4 linked regions of the Caenorhabditis elegans genome follow. The protein of the gene in region 4 interacts with the protein of the main gene of each other region in a pairwise test. Each region holds a gene or a part of one and is shown on either strand. Other genes may lie near its edges.

Region 1 (6,844 bases), on a different chromosome or scaffold from region 4:
CCACACATGAAGCGTCTTCGGTACGAGAAGAGCCATTGGGACGATGTAGGAGTTTTTGATCATTTTTATGAGGAAAACAGATTTAAAATTTACAAAATTCAAAAAATGATAGTTTTGTGAAAAAAAATTTATTGAAAATCTCGGATAAAATATGTTTTAATCCAAAATTTGACATAAAATTTGAAATTTAGAGTTCTCAGTCAATAAAACATTACTGGTGGCTTAGAAATATTATTCTAGGCCATCAATATATTGTCGATGACCTAGAAATTAAAATTTTGGATTTCTAGGTCATCAATATAGAATTGGTGGCCTAGAAATAATATTCTAGGCCATCAGTAAATTGTCGATGGCCTAGAAATTGAAATTTTGGATTTATAGGTCATCAGTATAGAATAAGTGGCCTAGAAATCGTGTTCTAGGTTTCAGATGAATTCATGGCCTAGAAATACCTATTTCGAATTTCTAGGCCACCAGCAAGCTTCCCGTGGCCTAAAAGTCTCCCATATTTTCTAGGCCATCCACCTATACCGAGAACGTGAGCAACGAAAATGGCGAGACGAGAATCTCGAAGTGATCTCCCGCATCCGGAGTGAATCGTTCGGCGCCAACACCGAACATTTGACCTACGTGCATATTTTGGATCTACACAAGGACGGTGTCATCAAACCACACATTGACGCGATTCGAGTGCGTGCAAGTTGACCAGGGTTCTGGGCTTCCTCATCGAATTTTTCGCGCTCTATTGACAATCCCCCGCCGGACAACGCGTGGGAAAGTCGTGTACTCCACACGGACAAATACATTTAGTTTTACAACTAAAATCGAGCCGCGACGCGACACGCAACGCGCCGTAAATCTACCCCAGATATGGTCGAGCCAACATGGCCTAGTTCGGCAATTATTATCATTAGAGCGCATTTAAAACTTATAACTCAAAAATATTCAAAAAAAATCCGAAATTTTCAGTATTGTGGTGACGTCATCACGGGTGTCTCCCTGCTCTCCGACGCTATTATGCGGCTCCGGCACAAGGATCAGAAGGATGAACTGATTATGGATCTTCTGATGCCTAGAAGAAGTTTATATCGATTAGGGTGAGTTTAGCCATAGAGCGAACTTGCTCACCACATTTTTAAAAAATCTAAAAAATTCGAAAATTTCAGCGGTCCCGGACGATACGATTTCACACATGAGGTGCTCGGCGAGCAGGAAAGTGTGTGGAACGGAGAACAAGTGCCCAGGGAGCGAAGAATATCGATTATTTGTAGAGATCTTCCGAAAGTGGCGAATCGGCAGACGGCTGAGGAGGAGATTAAGCTGAAACCGATTCCTGAAGAAATTTAATTGTTTTTATTACCTGTGGTTCTTAGAATAAATTGTTGCAATTAATAAACAATTAATTATATTTTTGTATTTCATTATTATCTAGAGGCGAAATATTGCGATTTTAGCGCCAAACATGGTCTCGACACGACAGATTTTTGTTAAATGCAAAAAGGGGCGCGCCTTTAAAGAGTACTATAGTTTTTATCGATTTTCAGAGAAATTTCAAACTACAGTACTATTTAAAGGCGCACAGCTTTTTCGATCAAACCAGAATTTGTCGCGTCGAGACCTGGTACCGTATTTTGGCGCAAAATTTAGCTTCTGGTTAATAACACAATGTTATAATAACTTCTCCAGCACAGAAAATTAGCAGTATTTGAAGGTACGAATATATTACGGAAACACAAAATTCTAAGAATACGTACTGCGCAACATGTTTGACGTGCAAAATATCTCGTAGCGAAAACTACAGTAACTCTTTAAATGACTACTGTAGCGCCTGTGTCGATTTACGGGTTGTTCTATCTTATCGATAGAGAAGCTTAAAAATGAGAAAATATTGCAAAGAAACTAGTGAAAATGGAATATCGCTCGTAAATCGACACAAGCGCTACAGTAGCCATTTAAAGAATTACTGTAGTTTTCGCTACGAGATATTTTGCGCGTCAAATATGTTGTGCACTACGCATTCTCAGAATTTTGTGTTTATATAACAAATCAATTAAAAAACATGTTTTATTAACAACTTTCCCTCCGCATCCAAACCCACATAAACAATATGAACACATTTCTCTGTTTCTCGTGCACTTTTGTCTCGTTCTCTGGCCCCTCTCACTATTTCTTCTTCAACACCTTTTCTCCATTTTTTCTTATTTTTGTCTAGCAAGCGAACAATTTTCTTCGTATTTTCGAAAACTGACTTTTGCCACGTGGAAGCTTGCGAGAAATCGATATTTTCTCAAATCAAAATAATCATTTAAACTTTTTAGAAGCATGAGCTCATCTAGTAGAACTCTCCACCCGGGAAGCTATGCGTTCCAGGAGGAGACTCGGCGTGATCTCGAAAGGCTGGCGCAACTTAGTAAGTTGGTTAAATTTTGGCCGAGGTTTCTCTTTCACGGCCACGAAGAAAAAAAAACAATATTTTAAACCAATTTACTCAAATTTTGGCAATTTCCCTAATTTTGGCAATTAACCATAATTTACTAAATGAAAAATAAGGTAATTATGGTGAATTGCCAAATTTTGGTAAATTAGTAAATTTTCCATTTCAGACCAGAGCACTTCCAGGAAAAGCCGTGACCGATACAGAAGATCTCCGAATAGGAGTCAGTTTTTTTTTCTAAATTAAATTATTTTTATAATGTCAATGGGAGTAGTAAAACTTTTTAAAACACCTTTTTTCATAATTTTGAAATTTGATCAAAAAAGTTATTATTTTAATCGATTTTTAATTATTTGTGTTTCAACGTTGTAGCTTTTTCTCAAAAATTTCTCGAAAAGTACGCATTTTAGGAAAATTAGGTAGTTTACCAAAACTTGGCAAACTGGCAATCTACCAAAATTTGGCAATTTACAAAAACTGGCAATTCCCTAAAATTTACCAATTCACCAAAATTCGGCAATTTTCCAAAACTTGGCAACTTTCCGAAATTAGGCAATTAACCAAATTTGGCCAGTTTTCCAAAATTCGGCAAATTTACCGAAACTTGGCGATTTACCAAAAATTGACAATTAACCAAATTTTGCCAGTTTTCCAAAATTTGGCAATATTCCAAAATGTGGCATTTTTCCAAAATTTACCAATTTACAAAAACTTACCAGTTTACTCAAATTTGGCAACTTATCAAAATTTGGCAATTTGCCAAAACTAACGACATTTACAAACTTACCAAAACTTGGCCGTTTCCCAAAATTTATCGATATTTGTAAGTTTTCTACCAACAAAACCCCAATTTCAGACTCGAACCGCCACCATCCTTACCATCCCAGTTCTCAGCCTGCTTTTGCTCCGTTCAGAAGCTCCCGTGAGTTAAAAAAAATTGTTTCAAAGAAAAATCGAAAATAATTCTTCAGAGTCTTATCGCCCGAGAGAAAACGAACCTGAGGAAGAAGCCGGTGGTAAGTGCGGTTATATTTTTAATTTTTTCAAAAAAAAAATGTCTAGACAATTTTTAAATCTTGTGAAACGTCTAGCATAGGTCCAGGGCACATTGAAAACTTTCTGAAATTTTAGAAAAATCTGCAAATTCAGATTTTCGCCATCTCAGGTCTTAATAATATTCCAAAAGGCGTTTTTTTTTTCAGGCCAGTCATCCTCAAGCTCAGCATACGAAGCCCCAGAAATGGAGAGACAGGCGACGTCACCGGGTAATTTTCAAAATTTTGAATCAATTTTCTAAGCATTTTTTTACAGAACTGGATTACGCACAATATCAAAACAGAAGTAAGCAATTTTTTAAGTCAGGAAGTCTAGGTTGAAGATTTAAAAAAATCAATTTCAGGCCATGATGATGAAGTGATGATTCTAGAGAATGAGCCAAAAGAGCAATACCCGATGCCCACGGAGACGGTGGAGCCAGTTACTAATGGTAGATCAAACGAAAATATTCTTCTCAAGTTTCCTCCAATTTCAGAAACTGAGCCAGAAGTTGCAAACTCCACTTTTGAGCAACAAAAGAGAGAGCTCACTCGTGAGCTGGAAGACTTGGAACTAGCGAAACTCAGAGCCCAAATCCACCACGAGAAAGCTCTTATGGAGATTGAGGAAGAGGAAAGAAAGACAAAGCTTGAGTTGAAGAAAAAGTCGCTGGAATTTGTGCAGAAAGAGTTGCAGCTGAAAGTGGAAGCTTCTGCACTGAAAGATTCAGAGATCAAGCTGGCAAGGATGGAGGCTCAGAAGATGGCTCGACGATATGAGGACGCGTACATTGAAGACGAAGAAATAACTCTGAATCCAGTAAGTTATCAGATTAATATAAGTTTAAAGGTTTTAATCGAAATAAAAAAATTCAGCAATCAACTCCGGAACCTCTTGAAAAAAAGTCCATCTCGACTAGTCGCCAGCGAAACCAGGTTTATGGGCAATCTGGAAACTTTTTTAAACTTACTATTTCAGATTGCTATCAAACGCGAGCCGGTAGAGACGTCAGCAAGGGAATTGAGACCACGGAATACTCTCGGAAAATGGCAGGGAAGAAATTCAAAGGTGGGACTCTCTTTTCGAGGTCGTGCTCTTAAAAAAAAACTTTTTTAAACAAGATTTTTTTCAAATTGTTTTTACAAATTTTTTTACAAAAAGAACTCAAATTCAAATTCGAGTTCAAATTCGAGTTGAACTCAAAATTTTCAAATTTTCAAGAATTTTTCAGATGGAGTAAGGAATTGGCTTCTTCATGGCTCCTAATCTTCTTTTTGGTTTTATTATATTCTTGTTTTGTAAAAATGCATTTTCCCTCCTTTTTCTCAATTTACCACCATGACCAAAAATCCCATTGAAAATCCCATTTCATTAATCAGTATTCACTTTTTTTCCCCACACTTCTCTCATTCTATTCAAGTAAGTATTTTCTCACATGCAAATTTCAATGTCTGAATTTTTATTCAATTCTTGTTTTTTTCTGTTCTATGATATAAACATTGGTGAATTAATTATGCGGATTTTTAGAGGACGTTTTACTGAAGCACATGGTCACAGGGCGATCAAAGAAATTGTCGGCGTAAAGTTAAATTTCCGGCAATTCTGCAAACCGGCACTTTGCCGATTTGCCAAAAAAAATTCGGCAAACTGTGGGTTTGCACATTTTTTCTGGAAATTTCAAAAAAAAAATTCATGTCAAAATTTTGAAAAATCAGTCAATTTTATGAACGCCGGAATTTTTTTCAACTAATATGACTACTAAGCCGAATATGACTACTAAGCTACTAAGCCGCAGACGATTTTTTCCGGCAAATCGCCAAACCGGCAATTTGCCCGTTTGTCGATTTGCCGAATTTACCGGAAAAACGGCATTTGCCGAAAATCTTCGGCAAGTTGTGGGTTTGCACTTTTTTTCTGGAAATTTAAGAATGTCAAAAGTTTGAAATATCTATGAAAACATCTAGAGAAAACGGAAATTATTGATTTTTAAAAATCCCTTTAAAATATTCCGACAAGTTGATATCCGGCAAACGGCAAATTGGCAATTTGCCGAGATAAGAATTTATGGCAAATCGGCAAATGGACAATTTGCCCTGATGTGTACCTTTTTGACCAAGTAGCAAGTAGAAGCTGAAAATTAAATTCCGGCAAGTCGGCAAATTGCCAAAATTGAAATTTCCGGCAAATTGGCAGAAATGCCATTTGCCGATGTGCCGAAAAATTTCGGCAAACTGCAGGTTTGCACAAATTTCTGGAAATTTCTGAATTTCAAAGTTTTGTAAAATCAGTAAATTCTATAAAAATATGTAGAGAAGTTCAAGTATTTCCGTCTTATTAAAAATCCCTCGAAAATGTTCCGGCAAATAACCAGGTATCAAGTAACCAGGTATTACAAACCCTTTAAAATATACCGACAAGTAGATATTCGGCAAACGTCAAATCGGCAAATTGCCGAAAATAAAAATTTCCGGCAAATCGGCAAATGGGCAATTTGCCCTGGTGTGTACCTTTTTGACCAAATAGCAAGGTGAGGCAATAGGTGTGCTCACGGAGCAATAGAACATTTCTTTCATTCAATTTACAAGAAAAAACATGAATTTCAAAAAAGTTCACAGCTGTTAGGCAACAGTTCCCCAGTTGGACTTTGCGTCGTTGATTGTCTCGTTGTCGTCAGCCGGACGCTCCTTCATCGGTGGTTCTGCAAAAAAAAAAGTAAGTGCCGACAAAATCCAGGTCCACGAACACAGTTCAGTAGACATCCATGGATCTATCGCGGCTCTGTTAGACTCCGCCCAAAAATTGCTAATATAGAACCCACCTTGGACTTCATTCTTGAGAAGACTATTAGCATCTCCAGCTCCTCCACTACCTCCGCCGGCACCGCCAGACTTGTTTGCCGATTTGGCTCCGCCCGGAGTTGGCCCACCGGGTTTTCCGTCGAGGTTACGTGGCTTCAGTTTTGCCGCTTCGTTCTTCTCTTTCTTGCACGAGACGAGAATCGACGCAAGCACGGTGATGGATATGAGGAGTTCAATGAGCATTTTTTTCAAATTGTCACGTGTTTGAGCGTATCCTGGAAATTGTCATTATTTCACAGATCGACTTTGCCGCAGTACTTCAAAAAGTTTTAAACAACCGAGTTTTGAACAATTGAGAAAACTAGGCCATCGATTGTTTAGCTAGGCCGCGCTGTAAATGCCCGCCGGCCGGAAAGCATACAACTCGGCCACCTATGTTTTTTTTTCAGCGGCCACCCAGCACATATATATATTTAAATGAACTCACACTTTGACAAAAATGGTTTACAACGCCGTCGGCCGGTTAGATTGTTCGAAATAAATTGAAAAATCGACTAGCGGGCCCTATGGGGCCCGC
Region 2 (7,574 bases), 850 kb from region 4:
TAGCCTGAATCATATTTATCCAAGTATTTGCCCATTTAGGCCCGAATTTTTGGTCCGATCAGCTTATCTTATTCCTTATTCCAAATCAGGGCTCTTTTCACAACAGTTTGCTCAGCTAGGCCATATAAGCCAGAGCCGTCAAATTTTCTAATGACTAGCCGGGATCCTTGATCCTTTCAACTCAGCCAAACTTTGATCGGAACCCTGCCCTCCCCTTGATTACCCCTAAAACCTCAAAATTTCCAGATGGAAGGTGGCTCAGGATGGACAGAATCATTGGAGAAAGACTTCGACAAAGCATTCGTCTCACTGGATCTCCTGCTAGGAGAAGTCGACTCGGACCAGGTAAGAGCTTAGAACTTCAGGCCACCTGATCAAGCCCAGGTCCACAAAATCCTAACGTATCCAGGTTGAGATCACCTACGAGGGCCGGCAGAAGATGACGTCATTGAGCGCCTGCTTTGCACAAATGATGCACAAGTGTCAGTTCATGATGCACACAATTAGTAAACAGGAGAAGGTGAGTTTAGGCTTGCTGAAAAAAGTTGGATTGTTAATTTTTTCAGGAAATGATAACAATGCGCGCCGAGGTCGTGGAAGCCCGCGCCGCTCGACAGAGCATGGAGAAGGAAGTGGAGCAGTTGATGATCCAAGTTCACTCATTACAATGCCAACTGCATTCCAAGACGGCGCCGCATGAGTCAGACATGATTAAGAAGAAGCTGGAGACCCAGCTGACACAGTTTCGATCAGAGCTTACACAGGGTTTGAGCACGGTTTGTGAGCTGGAAATTGCAAGAAAGGAGTGTGATCGGTCAAAACGGACGATTCAGGCCTTGGAGACTGAGGTCTTCGGGGCCAGGCTGGCGGCAAAGTACCTGGATAAGGTAGGCCATCGGGCTTTAAGGCTTTAAGGCTTCAAGGCTTTACATACCCTAATCTTCCAGGAACTCGCAGGCCGGATACAACAAATCCAGCTCCTGGGACGAAACATGCGCGGCGTGGAGCACGACAGGCTCTGGAACCAGCTGGAAGCCGAAATTCACCTCCACAGGCACAAGACAGTGATCCGGGCTTGCAGGTAGGCGGTCACGTTTCCCATGGCCGCTCCCCACTTGAACAATTTGCCATTCTTGCAGAGGACGGGGTAACACGAAGGGATTAACGGCGCCACTTCGTCACAACTTCAAGAGCCTCCGAAAACGAAATGGAGTGGGAAAGAGCAGGAAAGTGGTGCTCTCGAAACACCCGCACGAAGGGCTCGGCATTTCTATTACGGTAGGTGGGGGGACTTGGATGGTTTTGGGCCAGTAGATCATTGACTAGACTTGTTCCTTTGGGGATCCACGGGATCCTGTAAGATCTGAGAGTTGATCCAGTTCCCGTAAGACCAAATGTGCCATCTGATTATGAGGTACTTTTGCACGTGGTGTCAGGCTGTCCCATTGCGGTTTGATCTACAAAAAATGCGGGAATTTTTCTCCCAGTCAGTTGAAAAGTCTGCGTCTCTTTTCCCGCATTTTTTGTAGATCAATGTAGATCAATCTAAAATGAGACACTCTGACAACCCCTGCTTTTGTAGTTCTGCTGCATAGCTCAAAACTACTCCAGATAGTTTGCGGAGCTCCGGATGGATCCTAGTTCTTCAAGATCTTAAAAAATCCTACTGGATCCTAAAATCCATTTCCAGGGAGGATCCGAACACGCTCTACCCATAGTGATATCTGAAATCCAGCCGGGACAGCCTGCTGACCGATGTGGACAGGTCTTTGTGGGCGACGCGATTCTCTCAGTAAACGGCTACGATCTTCGGACTGTCAAGCATCAGGAGGCAGTGGATATTTTGAGTGGGCAGGTAAGATGCTGCCAGGGGCCCTCCACCTACATCCCCTCCAAATTCCAGGTACAGCAAGGCGACCTAGACCTGGAGCTCGTCTTTGTGTGCCCCGATGAGGATAGTGATGATGATGGGACGGTGACGATCGAGCACAGCGATGGATCTATGTGAGTTATTGGGAATTTTTCGGCGGGAAATTTGAATTTCCAGTTAGTTTTTAGCGGGAAATTTAAATATTCAATCGATTTTCAGCTGGAAATTTTGATTTTCTGTTAATTTTTGGCGGGATTTTCATATTGCCAGTTAATTTTAGGCGGGATTTTTAAATTTCCAATTGATTTTGAGCTAGAAATTCAAGTTATAAGTCAGTTTTAGGGAGGAAATTCAAATTCTCAGTTAACATTTAACTGGAAATTTAATTTTTTAGTTAATTTTTCAACTGGAAAATCAAAATTTTGGTCATTTTTCAATAGAAAATTCAAATTTTTTGTCGTTTTACTATAGGAAATTCAAATTTTTAGTCAATTTGCGACAAAAAATTCTAAATTTTCTGTCTATTTTCGGCAAGAAATTCAATTTTTCAGCCTATTTTTTGGGGGAAATTCAACTTTTTAATGAATTTTTCGGCGGGGAATTCCAATTTTTTGTCGTTTTTCTATAGGAAATTCAACCTTTTAGTTAATTTTTCGACGGGAAATTCAAATTTTCGGCCAAATTTCAACAGAAAATTCGAATTCCCAGTCAAATTTTTAAATTTTTGTTTTAGCTACAACCTCTACAGTATGGAAGAGCCCACGTCAAGCCGATCGTCCAACAATTCTGATGAATCACGCAGCACGTGACCTCCAAAATGTGGAATTTTTTGACGGGTTTTATTTAATTTTTTTTTCAAAAAAAAAACTTTTTTTTGTATATTTTCCCGTGACTTTCCTCCTCCCCCTAATTGCCACGTCATTTCCTCCAACTCATTGGATTTTTTTTTGGCTTTTTCCAACTTTTTGCATAAAAATCTTTTATTGTTTGAGTTTATCGATTTTTCTTCCGCAAAAAAATCAATAAATGACGTGTCAACAAATCAATCGTCTTACTGCTGTCTTCAATACGGCAATGTCCAAGGCGCTGGCTTCCGATGAGAAGGACGACTGGATTACCCATTTGAAGGCAATTTCGAATGTTTTTACGCAGGTAATATGATCTTCCGGTCGGGCGGGAATTTGAAAATTCTGGGAGAAATATTGATTTTTTGGAAAAATGTCAGTTTTCCGGCAAATGTCATTCAAAAAATTATTGATTTTTCGTCGCACTCCAACGACACTCCGATATTCCGCTGACTAAAAGTAGGCGTGGTCAGGCGGGAATTTAAAAATTTCGCTTTGAAAATCAGTAAGAAATCATCGATTTTTGTGAAAATTGTTAGCTATCCGGCTCGAAATATCGAAAAACGGTTTGAATTTTGTTTAGTATAAAGTTTCTTTAAAATCCCGGTCGGGCGGTAGTTTAAAAATTTTAGAAAAAATCGATAATGTATCGACTTTTCGGTATCCCGGTACAAAACTGTGGCGGGAATTTGAAAAGTTTCCAATAGTTACTTCAAAACTCCTTTTTCTCGGTTATTGAAAACTTGGCAATGACGAGAAAAATCGATAATTTATTAATTTATCACAAACTATTTTTCCAGGTTTGCACTTTGTCCGCCAGTGAAGAATCCGCTAAGAAATTGGCAATCAAGGAGCGTGAGGAGTGTCTCCAGGAGCTCGTGGAGCTTCGTGCCATAGCTGAAGCCCATGATGACGTCATCCAGCAGTTCCACTTGTTGCTGGCCGCGAATCATCAGGGAGACGCGACTTCCAGGCAGATTTTCAATGATATGGTGAGGGAATGTTGCCTGCCTATACCTACCTAGGTGCCTACAAGTACTAGGCAGGCAGGCACTTTCGTGCCTACCTGCCTACTTCAACGCTTAATATTTCAGAAACAAGAAGTCGGTGACAATATGGAAAGGATCCAGGAGCACCGTCTTGTGGAGGCTAAGCTCAACGTGGAGAAGCGGCGTAACGAGCGGATGGCGAAGCATATCAATGAGGTGTCCAAGAAGAGTGTCATGCATCTCATGGCAACCAGGTTCTACGCAAGGGTACGGTTCTACCTAGTCGATGCACCATGTGGGGTAGAGGTTCAGGTAGCTCTGGTTACCCAAAAATTGGTGATTTCCACTTTGGCCACATTTTTTGCTAGCCTAAACCTCAGCCAAAGCCTACACCCAAACCTAAGCCTTAATCCAAGCTTAAGCCTGAGCTTAATCCTAGGCATAAGCGTAAGCCTAAGCCTAAGCCTTGGTCTAAGCGTAAGCCTAGATCACAGCCTAAGCTTTAGCATAAGCCTAAACCTAAGCCTAAGCCTAATACTAAGCCTACGCCTAAGCCTAAGCCTAAGCCAAAACCCAAGCCAAAGCTTCAGCCTAAACATTTTGTCGATGCACCATGACATTTCCCCCACTTTTTTTCTAGATTTTTGGCCCCTACGCATCATCATTTTTTACATGATCATGTCCCCTCCCCACACTTTCCCATGAGACTCATTACAGGAGCTGGCAGCAATGCGACAGATGATGGATTTGGTGCGCAACGCGGCAACGATCGAGTCGGCCGTCAAATCGAAACTGTGGGACGAGATCGAGAAGGAGAACCGCTTGTTGCGTCTCAACACGCTTTGGCTCATCAATCGGTAGGTGATGGATTTCTGTGGGAACTTGTTGGAGCATCAAAAAATTTTCCAGGATCAACTCGTCGGACCTTGGTGATGCTGCATTTGAGAACGGAGACGATTGGCAGAGCTCTCCGCGGCTCGTGATTCTCATGAGAGAGCATATCAATCAGGGGCTTGGGCTCGAGATTACGGTTGGTGCCGAAAAGCCAAAAAATTTGAAGAAATGGAATTATTCAGGGAGGTTGTGATCAGTTCCGTCCGGTCGTGGTCACTGGGAAGTTGAAGCGGTCGATGGCGGACGATGATCAGGTACAGTACTCCTACAGTACCCCTTTTCCTACAGTACCCTTTCCCTTCCTATAGTACCCCTCCCTACAGTACCCCCTTACTGCAGTTATTTCTCTCTACAGTACCCGTTTCTACAGTACACCCTTACTACAGTACCCCCTGCCTGCAGTACCCCACTTCTACAGTACCCCTCCCTACAGTACCCCTTCCCCAGTACTCCTTTACTACAGTACCCCTGCCTACAGTACCCTTCCTACGGTAACCTTCCAGCAGTACCCCTACCTACAGTACTGCCTCCCTACTGTACCAGTCCTCTATAGTATTCTTTTAGCAGTTCATCCTTATTGCAGTACCCCTTCCTACAGTACCCCTTCCCTAATGTGCCCTTCCCTGCAGTACTCCTTTACTACGGTATTTTCTCCCTACAGTACCCCATTTCTACAGTGCCCCCTCCCTACAGTACCCCCTTCCTACAGTACCGCTCTCTACAGTATCTCTCCCTGTAGTATCCCCTGCCTACAGTACCACTCCCTACAGTATCCTCTCTCAACAGTACCCTATTCCTACATCACCCTCCCTACAGTATCCCTCTCCCTACAGTACTCTCTCCCTACAGTACCCCTACTTCATATTTCCAGCTCCGTGTGAACGACCGTATCTTGGCGATCGATGGGACCTTCGTGACCAACACCACCACCCACGCCGAGGTTATGGAAATGCTCGAGAATGAGGTGAGTTTCGCATTAGAGCGCACTTGTAGCCTTATATAAATTTGAATTTCCAGAGCGCCAAGGATTTCATCTCGCTGATTGTATCGCAATTCGACCCGACCAAGTACCACGAGGCCCATCCAAACGGGAAATGTCACAAATTTGTTAGCACACCAATTTCGGGAAAAGCCGATTCGGGGGAGGATGTCTGAATTGTCTTTTTTTTTTTGGTTGCAAAATTTATTTTTCTCTAATTCTCTCCCTCTCGTACAGTTTATAGACTTGTTTGTGTGTCTCTTTTCGATTTTTTTTTTATTTCTTTTTGTGTTTTGCCGCCAATTTTTTTCGTTCTTCTCATGATTACCCCCCTCTGAACCTTTTTAAAAAATAAAAATCAGCGGCTGTCTACGTCTCAGGGATATCAAATGAGACGGAATTAAAGTGGCTCATTTGAGTTTTATAGGTTTTCGGGGAGAATTGATTCCTGGGAGCTTTTCCTCCACTGCTTTTCATTGCTTTTTTGTTGTGGGAACACTCTGCAACAAATTTGGTGGTGAAAACCTGAAAATTTAGCAATTTTCTCATTGGGGCGCATTTGCAACATACCAATTTGAATTTTCAATAGGAAAACTTGTTTCTCTTGTTTTCACATTAACTTCTATCGATTCCTTTTAAATTTTCGCTGAACCGTGATTTTCCAGCAATTTCGCGGGAATTTGAATTTTTAGTTCGAAATTGCACTTTTTTGGTTTTAGCAAAACTGGTAAATAAATATAACAGTTTAAATTGTTGGTTTTGTTGGAAAATCACAAGAAAAATCGATTTTCCAGTTATTTTCTCATTGGGGCGCGTTTGCATTATGCGGTCCGCGAGAATTTAAATTTTTTAAAAAGAAAACTTGTTTTTCGAATAAGTTTAAGACAATTTGCGCTCAAAAAATAGCTAAATGCGTGAAAATTCCAGTAAAAACTCAGTTTTTGCGTATTTTCTCATTGGGGCGCACTTGCAACGTGCGGTCGGCATGAATTTGAATTTTCATAAAGAAAACTTTGTTTTTAGGTGTTTTAAAACACAACTTTTAGTTAAAAATGGTTAGTTGAGTTCAAATATCTTGGAAAAAACATTGTTTACGTATTTTCTCAATGGGGCGCACTTGCAGCTCACGGTCAGTGGAAATTCAAATTTTTGAGTTTAAATTTTAGTTAATTAGGTTTAAAGAAAACTTTCATTTTCAAAAATAACAAAATGTGCTCAAATACCCCCTCAAAATCAAAATTATCCTATTTTTCTCATTAGAGCGCACTTGCAGCTTGCGATCGGCGGGAATTTTTTTTTATATTTTTAAGTTTAAAATTGAGTTTTTCGGGTGTTTTGAAATGCGGTTAATTTAGTTCCCTTAAAATTTAAACGAAAAAAAAAAGGTTTTTGCATACTTTCTCAATGGGGCGTACTTGCAGATTGGCGGGAATTCTAATTTTCAACTAAAAAAAACCGAGTTTTTTGCATACTTTCCCATAATTCCCCTATCATTTTCTTCATTTCTAGACCGAAAAAAAAAAGATTTGTGAAGATCTCCGCCAATAAAAAACATCAAAAAGTGCCGCTTCTTCAAGGTTTTTCACAATTTTTGGCGGCGGGGAGAGGAGGCGCAGCAAGTCGGAGTGGACGGCGGGCTGGAGAGAAATATGAATAAATCGACAAGACGCAGGCACGTGTCGGCGAACATCAAAGAGTCGCTGGTTTTGAAGAAGGGGGCGCCTCCATTCTCACACCGACCGCCCGAGAAGAAGAGAGAGGAGGCACTTCACCCCCCAATTCTCTTTTCCTTCTCCTTTTCTCTTTACCCCCCTTGATTTTCCTACCCCCATCTTTTTCCTAAATCCTTCTGTTTTACCCATTTTCCTTTTTAGACCATCTTTGGGACTATAATATTTGCTTTGAAAACTGGAAAATTATATGAAAAATCCAGTTTTTAAATTTATTTTAGGCTCAGTTTAGGCCAAACTATTTTAGGTCTTTTTTAGGCGTAAAAA
Region 3 (6,357 bases), on a different chromosome or scaffold from region 4:
GATTAGAGTTTTCCGGGTTCGCAGGTTTATGGGCCACCGGCTTGGCTGCTCCATTTTGTGCTTGCTTCTTCTTGTTCGTGTGCACGGCACCGCTCTCAAATTGAGCCATAATCTTTTCCGCCTGTAAAGAATAATTTTATTAATTAAAAATTCAAAAACAAAAAATCACTCACGCTAGCCAAATTATCTTCTTTCAGCTTCATCTTCTGTGCTTTTCCCAGCTTCTCCGTTGGCTGCTTCGGCTTTGGTTTCGCCGCCAGCTTCATTGGACGTTTTTTCAGCTTCATTACTGACAATGAATAATCTTAAATTGTTTAAAAATACAGTTTAATAAATATAGCACATTGACATAAAATAAATACTTAGAGAAAGTTAACTTGTTATGAAATTTTTGAAGCAGAAAACAAAATTTTGTTACAACTTTATACAAAAATATTTAAAAAATCGGGTGGAAAACATAATTTAGGCAAATATGAATTAAGAAACTCGTATATGGGACGTCTTTAAGAAGCGAGATTAACGAATGAAATCATATTGAAAGGATACATATCGAACGATCAATGAGAAGTGAAGAACTCCTTGGCAAATTGTTCAGAAGCAATGGTCACGTTGAAAACTGGATTAATTTCAGCAAGCATGTTAACATCACCACCAAGTATTTTCCCATCGCGAGCGAGAGAGTACTTCTGAGCAACTGATAATCCTGAGAGAACGTAGCATGTATGGTACAGGTCGACGGCTGAAAATTGAAGTCATTTTTAGTTATAAAAACTGGATCTTACGCTTGTCCGGCTTATCCTTGAATCCTCCATGTACTGATTGGCATCCAACAAGAATGTACTCTTCAAGCATTCGCGCCTCGAAAAGACCTTTCTCCAATGATCGGCCTTCTCGTTCCATTTCTCCGTCCAAAAGTGGGAAGATGGCACCTTGCCAGAAGCTGTAGCATCCATCAACAAGTTTATTTGTTCTTCCCTGGAAACCACCCTCAAATCGCATCTGCCGGCGCGTGGCCCAACGAAGGAGACCTTCCATATCAGCAAGACGGAATCTGGAAATCATCAGGATCAATGATCTTATTTCAAATTCTGAACTAACTTAATTGATATGATTTTATAAGAAAGAACATGTGGTGTTCACGTGATGGTCTGTCTCTTCTCATTTTCAAAGATAACAATAACTGACCTGTTTAACAGAACCAACGAGGCGACCGCGCAGAAAGTGTATCCTCCGTGTGCCTCTGTATACGGTTCTCCTCCGAAACCACCTTCAAAGCTCTGGCAGCTGATAATCCATTCGGCCACACCATTTGATATCTCATCCATAGGTAGGCCCACAATCTCGCATGTTGCTAGTGCACAGTAGGCGCTTCTCATATCGATCTGGAAATGTTCAATTTTCGATAGCTCAGAATTTTTATGATATCTCTGGCAAAAAAAACAACACTAGAGGCAATTCGTAGAGTGTGCAGCAAGGATCCTAAAGTTCTATGCAAGAGTACGTAGAAGTTTCACTCTGAGTAGGACTTCATCAAGTCTATGCAGGAGTTTCAGTACATTTAGAGCTTTTGAACCATTGCCAGAGATATTCATTAATAAATTATTACCTCTCCTCCCTCGTGCATATAAAATCCTCCGCTCTCATGCTTGCACTTCTTCAAAAAATTGAACAGTGTGACTCTGTTGATAGATCGTAGAGCTTCTTCTTTTTGTAGAGACACTAGGCACATGACAGCGGCATACGTTGGAGCCAAATGAGCCAATTGTCCTGGTCCTCCACCATAGCCACCTTCTGGATGTTCACAAGATTTAAGAAAAACAATAATGTTTTCGATAACATCGTTTGGAATTTCTGCGTCCAAAATTTTAAGTGCATTAACTCCCCAGTAGCACATCCATGAACGACTAGCGTCTAAGGTCTAAAAATTGTAATGTTAAAAACCACTTCTCACAAATCAAACTTACTGCGTAGCTCGACGGGCAGTTTTTGAGATATCTGAGCAAATACGAGGCATGTTTCTGACGGAAAATCGTCAATTCGGCGAGATCTTCGTCGCTTGTGGTCTTGAATGGTTCTAACACCAGTGAATTGTAGTTTTCGAAAAGCATTGTTTCAATACGTTTCTGAAATACTCATAATCGTACATGATAATTACATGGCGGGGTTACAAACCTGTTCAGTGCTTGAGTAGGTGAAATTATCATCGTCGTTACACTCATATTTCTCGTTGAACGAACGGAATGGGATCGAAGATGTCATCTCTGTTATAAAATACAATTTTTACAAAAAGAACACATTAGAAAACACACTTCTCTTGGGAAAACCTATCAAAAACATTTTTTTTCGTCGCGAAAATAAAAAAAAATCGGTGTGATAAACAAGGCGCGCGTGTTTAAAACGGAGTGTCGTTGTCCCCGTCTAATTTTTTCTTTTCTCATTTTTCTGAACACTCTTTTCTGATCAGGAATTCTGACGTTTTATCAGTCTGTGATAAAGTTTTTAATCAGTTATTGCAACAAAAACTCTACGAAAATCAGGCGAGTATGCAGAAAGATGATAAAGTTTTCTTGTAAATTAGCTTTTCATTCCATTTAAAATTTAATAACTTTACAATTTTATATTCTTTATTGTTGTTTGCAAATGTGTATTAAATATCTTATTTCTACGTTTTCTTACAAGTATAATTTTGTTTAAACTGAAAAATATTCAGGTAATGTCGAAGTTCCCGGTGCCGTTGAGAACGATTGGTGGGCTTCGTCCCTCGACAACAGCAGCTATTTCTGCCGCCAACATCGGTTTCACACAATCGAGTCGGGCCCTCAGCACCGGAGCTGCCGCCAAAAGCTCAGGACTTGTTGGACAAGTAGCTCGCCAATATCCAAATGCTGCAGCTTTCAGTATTAAACAAGTTCGCCTTTATAGCAGTGGTGAGACTTTTTTCCTATTTATATTTTCCAACTGGTTGTCCACTAATTCCTTTTTTCAGGAAATCTGCCAAAGCACAATCGGGTAGCTCTCCCAGCACTTTCTCCAACTATGGAACTCGGAACTGTTGTAAGCTGGCAGAAAAAAGAAGGAGATCAACTTAGTGAAGGAGATTTGCTCTGCGAGATTGAAACCGATAAGGCCACTATGGGATTCGAAACTCCGGAAGAAGGATATCTTGCCAAGATTCTCATCCAGGAAGGATCGAAGGATGTTCCAATTGGCAAGCTTCTCTGTATTATCGTCGACAACGAGGCTGACGTTGCTGCCTTCAAGGATTTCAAGGACGATGGTGCTTCATCTGGTGGATCCGCTCCAGCAGCCGAGAAAGCTCCAGAGCCAGCAAAACCAGCCGCTTCATCGCAACCATCTCCCCCAGCACAAATGTATCAAGCACCATCAGTTCCAAAGTCCGCACCAATTCCACACTCATCATCGGGAAGAGTTTCTGCTTCACCGTTCGCTAAGAAACTTGCTGCTGAAAATGGCCTTGACTTGAGCGGAGTTTCTGGAAGTGGACCAGGAGGACGTATTCTCGCTTCGGATCTTTCCCAGGCTCCAGCAAAGGGCGCTACTTCAACCACAACTCAAGCCGTATCTGGTCAAGATTATACCGATATTCCACTTTCGAACATGCGTAAGACAATTGCTAAGAGACTCACCGAAAGCAAATCAACGATTCCACATTATTATTTGACCAGCGAAATTCAATTGGATACACTTCTTCAGTGAGTTTTCTTAAATTATTAAAACAATAAACCCGAGTCTTCCTTTCCAAAAATTACCCTTATTCAGGGTTCGTGAAAAGCTCAACGGTCTTCTTGCAAAGGGAACATCGGGACAAGCCACTAAGATCTCAATCAATGACTTTATCATCAAAGCTTCTGCTCTTGCATGTCAACGAGTTCCAGAAGCCAACAGCTATTGGATGGACTCGTTCATTCGTGAGAATCATCACGTCGATGTTTCTGTAGCTGTCAGCACCCCAGCCGGTCTTATTACTCCAATTATCTTCAATGCTCACGCTAAGGGACTCGCCACGATTGCCTCAGAAATTGTAGAATTGGCGCAAAGAGCACGCGAAGGAAAATTGCAGCCTCATGAGTTCCAAGGAGGTACTTTCACCGTCTCGAACCTCGGAATGTTCGGATCTGTATCTGATTTCACCGCGATCATCAACCCACCACAATCATGCATTTTGGCTATCGGAGGAGCATCTGATAAGCTGGTCCCAGACGAGGCTGAAGGGTAAGAGTTTTTAGGAAATTTATCGAGTTATATAGTTTTTGTATTTCAGATATAAGAAGATTAAGACTATGAAGGTAACATTGTCATGCGATCACAGGACTGTTGATGGAGCTGTTGGAGCCGTCTGGCTTCGTCACTTCAAGGAGTTCCTCGAGAAGCCACACACGATGCTTCTCTAAACGATGGCTTTTTCATTGTTTCCCAATTCATCTCACCATCTTCCTCTACCCATTTTGACCCCCGAATTTACTCCGTAAAGTCTCGAAGTGATAGCGTATAACTAGGTCATAATTTTATTATTTCTTTCTTTCTTCACTACAGCCATTTTCGCTTTTATTTTTCTCATTTTTCATGGCATGTTTCCCAGTTAATCGTTTAATTTCTCCGGTAGTATGTGTAAGTGAATTATTAGAAGAAGTTTCCTTTAAAAAATGATTTATTATTTTTGTCTGTCATACAGAAATTTCAGAAACTCGTAGTGTGTTTGGAAAAGCCTAGCGGATCTTTAGTAATAGTGAGCAAAATGTTGAGAGACCCTAGGAAACAATATGCTTCAAGAAACGAATTCAATGACGACGACACAGTCCGCATGTTCTTGCGCAGAACGCCGTTAAGTATTGCTGATGGGATGGTGAAGCACAGAACTGACGCCACTGACTGCATCTTCCTTGAGGATCACGATCAGCGCATTCTGAAGATTCAAAAAGATTCGACAATATCCTAGATCTAGAAACATACGTCCGCCACCGAAAGCCGGCTGTGGCTGCTGGAATACATTTTGCCGCTGAGCAGCAAAACTGTTACTCTGTCCACGTCTTCTTGAAATGAACACATTTTGACGATTAAATGGAGATTGTGGCTGTTGAGCAACAATTCGCTGTCGTGGACGCTGTAAAATTGCAATTATAATATAGATCAGAGAGTAAAAGAAAATATAAAATACCGCAGGAATTGGTCGGAATGTTTGTTGGAACGTTGGTCTGGAAAAAATCAATATTACCGACATTACAATATGTGAAAAACGAACTGTTGTGTGAATGTAGCTTGTGTTGTCGGTGCAGCAGTCACTTGAGCATCTCCAGAAGATCCACGTTGGAAGCCATCTGAACAAGGCAACTAGGACTAGAACACAGGAAAATGAACGCGCTACCACGGAAACCGAAAAACTCAGACATCACTCAACATGCTAAATCAATCAAAAACTGAGCTTTCAAAATATGTTCCAAGAATTCAAAAAACACATTCATTCAACTCAATAATAATATCGTAGCTTCGAAATTTTCTGAAACGCGTTCTCAAAGGGACACAGATTTGTTCCGATGGGTCTTACCACGAATACAAATACAACAGAAATTGAAAAAAAAAATACTGAGATAAATACTGAAACATTATACCTTGCCGTAAAGATAATGCACCAGCGGGTCTCGAAACTATCAAACCTTCGCAGCTACAGTAACCCAAGAATTTAGTTTTTTTTTGTTGCAAAATTTGGCGAGTTTTTCATGATTTTTCAAGAAATTTATAGTTTTAACATTTATAAAATTAATTGAAAATTTAAATACAGAAGGGAGAAAATAGTAAAACGCTTGCGGGTACGGTGGCTACGAAGTTTCGATCGTGTCGAGAGAGGCCCCACGAAAAGGGGAGCAGAACGAAAAGGGGATCTGCAAAAAGGGGATCTGCGAAAAGGGGAGATACGAAAAGGGGAGATACGAAAAGGGGAGCAACGAAAAGGGGATCTGGCACTGTGCCAAACGCTATTTTTCTCGAAGAAAACGATACAACGATGCTCCGATGTTACGCGTCGCGTGTTGTTAAGCGTATCTTCTAGAAGAAAATTTCAAAAATCAACGTGCGTTGCGTGAGAAAAATTGCGTTTTGTGCGTTTGGCACAGTGCCAGCTCCCCTTTTCTAAAACTCGCCAAATTTTGCAAAAAAAAACTAAATTCTTGGGTTACTGTAGCTGCGAAGGTTTGATAGTTTCGAGACCCGCTGGTGCATTATCTTTACGGCAAGGTGCTCCCCTTTTCGTATCTCCCCTTTTCGTATCTCCCCTTTTCGCAGATCCCCTTTTTGCAGATCCCCTTTTTGTTCTGCTCCCCTTTTCGTGGGGCCTCTGTCGAG
Region 4 (8,583 bases):
CTTCTCCACTACAACAATCGATTTTTCCAGACAACATACGATCAAAAAACACTGAAAGCCCCGAAGTGACGCCTCGCGTCCGGCCACTCATCACATTCTCCGATTAACGGGTCAAGGCCAATCGATCTTCGTCTCGTCTTCACCTCCCCCCCCTCGTCCCGAGTATATTACTGCGCTGTTGTTTGTGTGCATTTGGTACCACACTACCACCACCCCACCATACCGCCTGTCCTATACATTTACCAAATGGTCACTGGTCACCTTTTACTCGGTTTCCCCTTCTTTCTCTCGTCACCCTCCACTCACTCACTTGCAGTTTGCCCTCTCTATCGCTCTATCCACGTTGCACCGTGTGGTTTATGTGTGCTGACGTGTTCTTTTTCTTCGTCTTCCCTCTCAGCACGGGTCATTCTCAGAAAACTCATCTCAATTGTTCCTGCTGGTAACTGTTTTGTATTTATTTCTTCATTTTTAAGGCTTTACTTTTTCATTTTTAAACATAAAATGTCTAATGTACTCTTATCACCATGTCTTTTCGAATGTGGTATTTAATTATTGTTATCAAACAATTCGATATTTCGCTTTTTTCTTACTATTGCTTTTCTTACTATTTACATTTTCTTACTATTGCTTTTTTTTAAACTTTTTTGCTCGCAATATAACACCATAATTTTTGCAGGTATGAAGTCGCTTCTTGTTGTGGCGGCCGTGCTCGCTGTCGGAGCTCTTGCTCAGGGAGACGATGCCAAAGGACCAAAGGTCACTGACAAGGTCTACTTTGACATGGAAATTGGAGGAAAACCAATCGGACGTATCGTCATCGGACTTTTCGGAAAAACCGTCCCAAAGACCGCCACCAACTTCATTGAGCTCGCCAAGAAGCCAAAGGTTTGCAGCTCAAGAAATCGAGTTTCAAAATATTTTTTTTAATTTTCAGGGAGAAGGATATCCAGGAAGCAAGTTCCACCGAGTCATCGCAGACTTCATGATTCAAGGAGGAGATTTCACCCGTGGAGATGGAACCGGAGGACGCTCTATCTACGGAGAGAAGTTCGCCGACGAGAACTTCAAGCTGAAGCACTACGGAGCCGGATGGTTGTCGATGGCCAACGCTGGAGCTGATACCAATGGATCCCAATTCTTCATCACCACAGTCAAGACCCCATGGCTCGATGGACGCCACGTCGTTTTCGGAAAGATCCTCGAAGGAATGGATGTGGTCCGCAAGATCGAACAGACCGAGAAGCTTCCTGGGGACCGCCCGAAGCAAGACGTCATCATCGCCGCTTCTGGACACATCGCCGTCGACACTCCATTCTCTGTTGAACGCGAGGCCGTCGTCTAAGCTCAAATGACTTCTCTTTTTAAATATCGATCTGTGATTCTCCTGACTTCAGACACCTGAATTAAAGAGTAATTCGAGTTTCTTTTTAATTTATCGACTTTTTTGTGCGTTTCCAATTAAATAATATTACAAAGTATGTATTGATTAACACTATACGAACACTATAAGAAAAAAGAAGCGAATAAAAAAAAAGAACAAATTAACTTTTTAGTCAAATTCTGTGACGTTTACACCGAGATCACGCATTGTAAAATTTTTATTTGAAGAGATTATTTGGACGGCACAGCGGAAGGCGGATTTGATAGATTTCATGTGGCTAACATCGCGTACAGTTCTGAAAATTTAGTTTTTAGCTTATATTTCAGTGATTAACAGTCAAACCGTGTTTGAAGTGAGACAGGAAATTGATGTTTTCTTTTTTGGTATTATGAATTATAATCAACCATCTATACTATTTTAGATGTTGAGTTGAGCGTGAACACAAAAAATAATTGATTCAAAATCAATTTTTAGCCAAAAACTGAATAATCTTATCCTCGACACACGGTCATTTTTTCCAATATTCACCTGGCTGTGTTGATCGCATCAAACGGCTCCTCAACGACAATCGGACTGTTGATGAGATCACGGGGGAGATTTTCCCGAGGAATGACTTGACCCGAGCGGATTGAAAATCCGAAATTAGTGAAATCGAATTCATTATAGTACTGAAAGAATCCGATGAGCAACTCTCCAAGCGACCACGTGTTGGGAGGACTTGCTGAAAATGGTTAAATTTAGTAAGACAGATAATAAAAAGAGCACTTCAAATTACTGGGCAACTTGTCCGCAATATCGCCAAACAGAAGAAGCTCATTAAGCGGAAGTTTTCGATCAAACTTGTGCGGGAACAAGTATTGCAAGTTCGGAATGACTGCTGGAGTGACACCGCATTGAAGATAGTGCACAACGAGAAGAATCGTCGTGTAACTATTCAGAAATCCGTCCTGTGCGTTATTGATTCCAGTAACCATCGCCCAGTGCTTCACGAGTAGGGCCAGAGCTGGGAGCCGGGCATCCGTTCTGAAAATAGAAACAAATCTTGCAAATTTCATAATTGCGTTTCAAACTTGGCACACATTTTAATTTTTTCGGTTACAAAATTGAAGATTTTATCTAAATTCAGCCGAAATTTTGAAATATCTGATTTTTTGTTGAGAAAAAAACTAACAATGAATAGTAATGAATGAGATGTGAATTGTATATTCCTGCGATATTATTAACATTAATATCAACCTCAATTCCATCAAATTCTCCATTCAAAATCATTTTCACAATTGGAACTTTCGCCGGCACCAGCTGCATTGTCTTGATTATCTTCTTCAGAGGATGGCTCCAATGCGATCTTCGAAACGCCTTATCAATTTTGCGAAGAATTTTCGTCGAATAATTTCTGTCGCAGTGAAAATCGTCGCATACTTGTCCTTTATATCCATTTGTCGGAAAGCATAGACAAAGATCCATGTCAGAGTTGAAAGATCCACATCCGTTCACTGTTGAGCCAGTTGTCTGGAGCTTGATCTCTGTGTCAGGGAACAGCTTCTTGATCTCCGAGAATAGCTTTTGACGAGCCTCCATTTTCTTGAGAAACACAAAATCCGGTTGTGCATTTCCCAGGTAGTGATCCCATGCCAATTTAGACAATTGTTTGACAGAATTGAACGACTTTTTGGTGATCGAGTTCACAAACTTCTCGACGGAGCCAGCGATCCGCTCGTTGAGCACTACACCGATGGTTCGTGCCTGATAATTGACTGGCAACTGGCGAACTTCTCGGAAAATTTGATGCGTTTGGTGGCCTGGAAATAATTTTGTATTATATATTTGAAAATGGAACAGTTGGGCGAGTGTCGATATACGCAATTCGTGTACTCCTCGAGGAGGATCCTACAATTTTTGATTTCGGAGCAATCTTTTTTGTGTTGGTGTTAAAAATGTATGATTTTTCGCCTTAAACGCCTGAAAAGTTGATAATTTTCTCTCAGGCCGATTTTGTATCTAACGTGTTTTCTGGCTCCTTGCAGTAACCACCTCGAATTTCAACAAAAACTGGGTACCTGTGTATTACATGTCATCCTTTTTAAATTAGATGAAATGTTCATTAATTTCTCCATTTAAATTTAATTTTGTATGCACTTTTCCTCTTTAGGCTAAGAAATGGTTCTTTCCTAAGCCTACAGATACAAAACTATGGTACACGTTTTTATTTTTTATAATTTAAAAATACTTTAAAAACGAGGACATGTAATACACAAGTACCAAAAACTGTAAGGTGAGGAATACATTTCTCTCAAACTGTACCATTGTAGATCTTATTCTCATCTGAAGAACTGTTGGGAGTCTCCACCGAAATCACTGTGCTTGAGACCTCTTCTACACCGTTTCCTTGATCCCCTGCCTCAATTATCTGAATATCGTCATCTTCAAGCTCTTCCAGTTCGTCAGTCTTCTCCTCCTCGTCATTTGCATCCCACTCGTCAACTATATCACCTATTTCGTCCTCAGAACCTGAAACGTCTTGAATTTTTCATTAAGAAGCCTGCGATTGGACTTCTGACTTACCTTTTTTATCCGAAACTCCAGAAGAGGTGGTCATATTCAGAACAATGACGTCGTCGTCGTCTTCTTCTATATCCACTCGAGCACGCTTCATCGGTACAGCTTCCTTGTCTTCATCCTCAGATGCTTCAGTTGAATTCGCTTCTTCGTACTGCTGGACAAACTGGTTCGATTCGGGACGGGCACAGTAGACTTCTGTTGGACCGTGAAGCAGCTGTTGACATTCTCCAAAGTAGGTGTCAGAGTCGAGAGATGGAGATCGGCGGTTTTCACTAAAAAAATAGCATTTCATTGAAAGACGATTAGCAGCAATTTTTGTACCTTATGGGGTTATTCAAGTAGTGTCGGAAAATTAGAAAAATTACGTCACGACTGTATTCAAGTATATAAAAACATGTATTTAAATACATTTGTGACGTCACAAATGTATTTACATACATTTTGCTATATTACTTGAATAACCCCATTACATGTATTTTATTTTATTTTAAAAAAATTAATTTCCAACGGATTTTAAAATTAAATGTTAAGTTTAGCTAGATATATATCGGTTTGCTAACATGTCAAAAATCCTAGTAACTATACTCAATATTTTGAGTCTATTTTTACTAGAATTACGCATTTTCCCGTAATTTCAGAACAACCAGCGAAAAAATCGGGAATACATGAATTTTCAGCAATTTAATCTGCGTCGCGGGTTCGCATTACAATTTTTGACAAAAATCGCAGAATTAAAGTACCCCAGGCGCATTGTAGCTTCTTCGATGAGCTTCTTCTTCGCTCCGTCCATTTCTCGCATCTTGCGAAGTTTGGGCGATGCTTCGCTCGCAACTTCTCTAACGATAACAATATCATCACTGGATGATGATCCTGGAGCATCACTGGGGTCCACTGTTTCATTCGGCACGTCTTCTTCCACGTCATCATCATCATTTTTTAAAGTTTTCTTAGGAGTAACCGTTGTGTATCCAACTCCCGCGTTTTTTAAATTTGTCAGAACACGCTTTTTAAGCTCTTTTCCGCGTGCCCTCGCTGCTGGAGTCAACTCGAATTGAGTGCACTGAAAAACTTTTTTAAATCAAAATTTCGAAATGACGTTCAAACTCTGCTGATCGACAGAAAATCAGCTGCAATTGCAGCTTTGAATTGTTCAAAAAGTGGTTGAACTTGAGGAATCAACTCTTTTACTTCTTCATCACTTGCACAATTGAGAAGTTTACTTCTGAATCCATTAGAGATGTAAAGTTTGAAAAAGTCGAGCATTGCGTAACCTGCCGACTCGTCTGCGGACCTGAAATTTAAAAAGAATTGATTTAATTGCAATAATAATATGTAAATTTACTGACTGAGCGTCTTGGCCGGTTCCTTTTGAATGCAGACAACACGCTGGAATTGTGGCGAACGATATGAATCGCTTCACGTCAGCGTTCTCCGGAGGCTCTTCACCACGTTTGTTCACTGAAATACACATATATTTATTTATTTCTTTTAATTTTGTTAGTCTTACTGGAATCCATGTCCTGAACTAACAATGGGCATCCCAATTCAGTTCCCATGAATGTGAGATTTTGAATAATTGGACGGCGTGGTAAGCTTGGCTTTTTCGACTGTGACATTTTTCGTTTTCTCGACATTTCTGAAAGAGGAAATTTGATTCTTAATGAAAATAAACGCAGAAAACCTAAAAACTAAAAGAAAATCAACGTTATTGGGAGACATGTCTAGACATGAAAGTAGAAAACCTACATATAAAAATACAATCGAAGATTCATTCAAAGATGGAACGCAGAGAACCAGAAAACCTAAAAATTGGAAGAAATGGGACCTTTCATTTGATAAAGAACGCAGAAATCCTTAAAATTGTGAGAAAAAATATGCCTACGTGAAAAATGACCGCACAGCTGGATTTAGGAAGAAAATCGGTTCTTTTATGGAAAAATAAACTCTCAATACTTCGAATGTGGGAAAATATGAGCAAAACCTAACAAATTGGGAGAAATGTGGGGGAAAAGTAATGTGGACTGAAAGCGCTAAACAACACGCGCGCCCGTTATTTCGGAGTCTCGTTTTTGGCAATTTTTCAAATTTCGAGTTTATTGACTTTTGAAGTTTGCGCTACACACAGGCAGAACTATTACGGGAACAATAAATTCTGAGAATCCGTATTAATAGCGTATTGCGCAACATATATGACGCGTAAAATATCTCGTAGTGAAAACTACAATAATTCTTTAAATGACTACTGTAGCTGATACTTTCGAAACAAATTGTTTTTAGGATTGTGGCAGGCGATGTTTAATTTTCCTCTAATTTTTCGTGTTTTTTGTCAATTCGATGCCTTTTTTATAGTTTTCATCAAAAAATTAGAAAATAAACAACGTAAAATCTGATCAGCGCTACAGTAGTTATTTAAAGAATTACTGTAGTTTTCGCTGCAAGATATACATATGTTGCGCAATACGCATTCTCAGAATTCAGTGTTTCAGTAATATAATATGGTATAGAATGCACACAAAAGCCACAAAAGAAAATAAAACGATAGATTAATGTTAAAGATTTTTTATTCATCAAAAAGTTGTTGCAGTGTCTGGTGGTTTGGGTTCAGTTTTTCAGATCATTAAAGTTGGGGTTTAGTGTACAGCGCAGCCATAAAGAAAATGAGGGAAGTTTTTTTGGAAAAAATATTTGAAATAAATATATTAGGTTGAGATGATGAGTCCGTAGGCGTCGAAGTTTACTCGTCGTCGCCAGCTGCCTTCTTGTTGTCTGGCTCTTCTCCGTTATCAGAAGCTCCACGTTTTGTCCCACGTGGTTCAGCGTCTCCTCCCTGAAAAATTGAAATTAAGAACATACGTTTCTGAAATATGAGTCCGAAAACTAACCTCTGGAGCATAATCGTCAGTCTCGTCGTCGGAGAACTGGCTCTTCTCGAGATAGCTGAGTCCGGGTCCATCTTCATCGCCGCTTCCCTCCTCGCTGTCTTCTCCTCCCTCACCGGCAAACTCCTCCTCAACTTCCTCTCCATCAACATCGCATCCATCAAGAATCTTCAGCGATGGAATCATCTCGAACATCTTCTCACGATAGTCCTCGAGGAGTCCGAGACTTGGATTATTCGACAAGTCGAGCTCGAAAAGATTTGGAAGAACCTTTAAGCACCGGAGATTATCCAAAGAGAGCTTGTTGCTGGCGAGTGTGATCTTCTTAAGATCTGGAGCATTTTTCACAAGAACATCAAACGAAGCGTTGTCTCCAAGCTGATTGTCACTGATATCCAAATAGGTAAGAGCTGGAAGAGTTGGGAACCCGGCGAGTGTGGTGAGTCCGCACTTCACCATGCTGAGCATCTCCAAGTTGATAAGCTGGTCGGTGAGTCCTCCGATTTGTCCATCTTCAGCGTTGTCGAGGAATAGAGTATCGACAGTAGCTGGATCCCTCTCTCTGAGCTCTTTGACGTAGATTTCGGCCATAGACGGCATGATTGAGGATGTAGTCTGAAGGTAGAGGCATTAAAATAAAGTTGAGATGTAAGAGACAAGAGAGAAAATTAAAAAATCGAACAGAAAATGGAGTTTCTTTCCGAATTGGAAACAAGTCGAATAAAAAAAGCTATTTAGACGGTCACAATCAGTATAAAAATGCTTAGTCCATTTAGAGTCCAGTTTCTTACATCACGCACGAATGACTCAAGAAACACGGATAAAATCAATGAAACGATGGTGCAGCAAATTTTGGAAGGCTATGTTAAAAATTCCAAGCGAATAGACTGATTCTATTCGCTTTATATACGATTCTATAATGACAATGAACGCGCAACGCTCAACGAACGAACAAAATCGATACACTGCCAAGAAAAAAGGCCTAAATTAGGAGGAGAGCGCGCGAAAAACAAATTTGGTTGCGCGCGCTGAGAATCAAATGCATTAGCAGTGGAGCGCGTTTGTACACCACTGACGAGGGGAACATGTGAAGGTGCTCAGAGGAATAGCATAAGAGACTTATGTCAGTCGATAGACCATGTTTAGAAACGGTGATTTGAAAATTTTTAGCGGCGAATCTTCAGAACCAAGTTCACGGCGTACGCTCAAAGAAAGCGAAAACAACAATGTAACTGCAAACACTAACAAGGGAAGTAGACGAACTCAATCTCTGATTTTGGTATGGATAATACTATTTGATCGGAAAAATACCATGTCATGTCAAAGTCTGAGATTAATTTCATCTACTTCCTTTGTAATGGGTCAATTTTCAAAATTTTCCAGATATAAGCATAAAAATTGCATCAACAGCATTAACATATTTAACAATAACATTTACCGCACTTCACATGCTTTAATCTCAAACAAAGATTTTTTTGATAAAAAACTTTCAACTCCAAACGTGTAAAGTTGATAACTTTTCCATCAAAATCCGCGGAGACATGAGTTTCCGAAGTGAATATTGATCCCTAAGTGCTACGTTACAGTGTTGTTTTAGATGTCTTTAAGAGCATGTCGTGAGCTTGATTATGGAGACTTGCAGCTAAAAGTTTACGGATAACCGTTTCTAAACATGGTTCATCAAACGGCATAAGTCTCATATGCTACTCCGCTGGGCAGGTTTAGGGGCGGATCGAGGGCGGATCGAGAGCTTCTCTGGAA

Evidence for each region.
Region 1: the proteins of gldr-2 (region 4) and Y46G5A.15 interact in a two-hybrid assay, tested with the Caenorhabditis elegans proteins (one large-scale study listed by BioGRID).
Region 2: the proteins of gldr-2 (region 4) and ZK849.1 interact in a two-hybrid assay, tested with the Caenorhabditis elegans proteins (one large-scale study listed by BioGRID).
Region 3: the proteins of gldr-2 (region 4) and dlat-1 interact in a two-hybrid assay, tested with the Caenorhabditis elegans proteins (one large-scale study listed by BioGRID).

What each region holds. Positions count from the first base shown.
Region 1 is NC_003280.10:12,780,885-12,787,728, reverse strand, and holds Y46G5A.15 (uncharacterized protein), read left to right. Parts: upstream 1-2,312; 5' UTR 2,313-2,322; coding exon 2,323-2,410; intron 2,411-2,603; coding exon 2,604-2,657; intron 2,658-3,290; coding exon 3,291-3,356; intron 3,357-3,405; coding exon 3,406-3,450; intron 3,451-3,636; coding exon 3,637-3,699; intron 3,700-3,745; coding exon 3,746-3,775; intron 3,776-3,833; coding exon 3,834-3,920; intron 3,921-3,965; coding exon 3,966-4,288; intron 4,289-4,344; coding exon 4,345-4,404; intron 4,405-4,447; coding exon 4,448-4,537; intron 4,538-4,700; coding exon 4,701-4,709; 3' UTR 4,710-4,993; downstream 4,994-6,844. Other genes in the region: alkb-7 (Alpha-ketoglutarate-dependent dioxygenase AlkB-like domain-containing protein), read left to right, coding at 1-45, 517-690, 970-1,097, 1,167-1,347; Y46G5A.34 (uncharacterized protein), read right to left, coding at 6,088-6,167, 6,288-6,510.
Region 2 is NC_003279.8:14,180,966-14,188,539, reverse strand, and holds ZK849.1 (PDZ domain-containing protein), read left to right. Parts: upstream 1-2,832; 5' UTR 2,833-2,944; coding exon 2,945-3,022; intron 3,023-3,515; coding exon 3,516-3,707; intron 3,708-3,809; coding exon 3,810-3,971; intron 3,972-4,421; coding exon 4,422-4,561; intron 4,562-4,613; coding exon 4,614-4,734; intron 4,735-4,780; coding exon 4,781-4,852; intron 4,853-5,469; coding exon 5,470-5,562; intron 5,563-5,615; coding exon 5,616-5,753; 3' UTR 5,754-5,945; downstream 5,946-7,574. Other genes in the region: gopc-1 (Golgi-associated PDZ and coiled-coil motif-containing protein), read left to right, coding at 247-345, 410-520, 567-887, 948-1,081, 1,140-1,278, 1,691-1,855, 1,904-2,004, 2,604-2,679.
Region 3 is NC_003283.11:14,443,644-14,450,000, reverse strand, and holds dlat-1 (Dihydrolipoyllysine-residue acetyltransferase component of pyruvate dehydrogenase complex, mitochondrial), read left to right. Parts: upstream 1-2,710; 5' UTR 2,711-2,713; coding exon 2,714-2,927; intron 2,928-2,986; coding exon 2,987-3,713; intron 3,714-3,780; coding exon 3,781-4,233; intron 4,234-4,282; coding exon 4,283-4,412; 3' UTR 4,413-4,678; downstream 4,679-6,357. Other genes in the region: F23B12.7 (uncharacterized protein), read right to left, coding at 1-121, 174-287; fntb-1 (Protein farnesyltransferase subunit beta), read right to left, coding at 558-739, 783-1,051, 1,186-1,382, 1,607-1,918, 1,965-2,123, 2,173-2,259; F23B12.4 (ShKT domain-containing protein), read right to left, coding at 4,800-4,924, 4,972-5,122, 5,177-5,213, 5,261-5,336. UniProt on the Caenorhabditis elegans protein: The pyruvate dehydrogenase complex catalyzes the overall conversion of pyruvate to acetyl-CoA and CO(2).
Region 4 is NC_003279.8:15,033,371-15,041,953, reverse strand, and holds gldr-2 (PAP-associated domain-containing protein), read right to left. Parts: upstream 5,946-8,583; 5' UTR 5,690-5,945; intron 5,586-5,689; exon of another isoform or gene 5,580-5,585; 5' UTR 5,578-5,579; coding exon 5,451-5,577; intron 5,402-5,450; coding exon 5,290-5,401; intron 5,235-5,289; coding exon 5,048-5,234; intron 5,004-5,047; coding exon 4,684-5,003; intron 4,216-4,683; coding exon 3,947-4,215; intron 3,902-3,946; coding exon 3,686-3,901; intron 3,184-3,685; coding exon 2,556-3,183; intron 2,408-2,555; coding exon 2,160-2,407; intron 2,106-2,159; coding exon 1,913-2,105; intron 1,680-1,912; coding exon 1,553-1,679; 3' UTR 1,467-1,552; downstream 1-1,466. Other genes in the region: bltp-2 (FMP27/BLTP2/Hobbit GFWDK motif-containing RBG unit domain-containing protein), read left to right, coding at 31-69; cyn-5 (Peptidyl-prolyl cis-trans isomerase 5), read left to right, coding at 682-888, 938-1,345; F33H2.3 (Acidic leucine-rich nuclear phosphoprotein 32-related protein 1), read right to left, coding at 6,678-6,770, 6,826-7,422.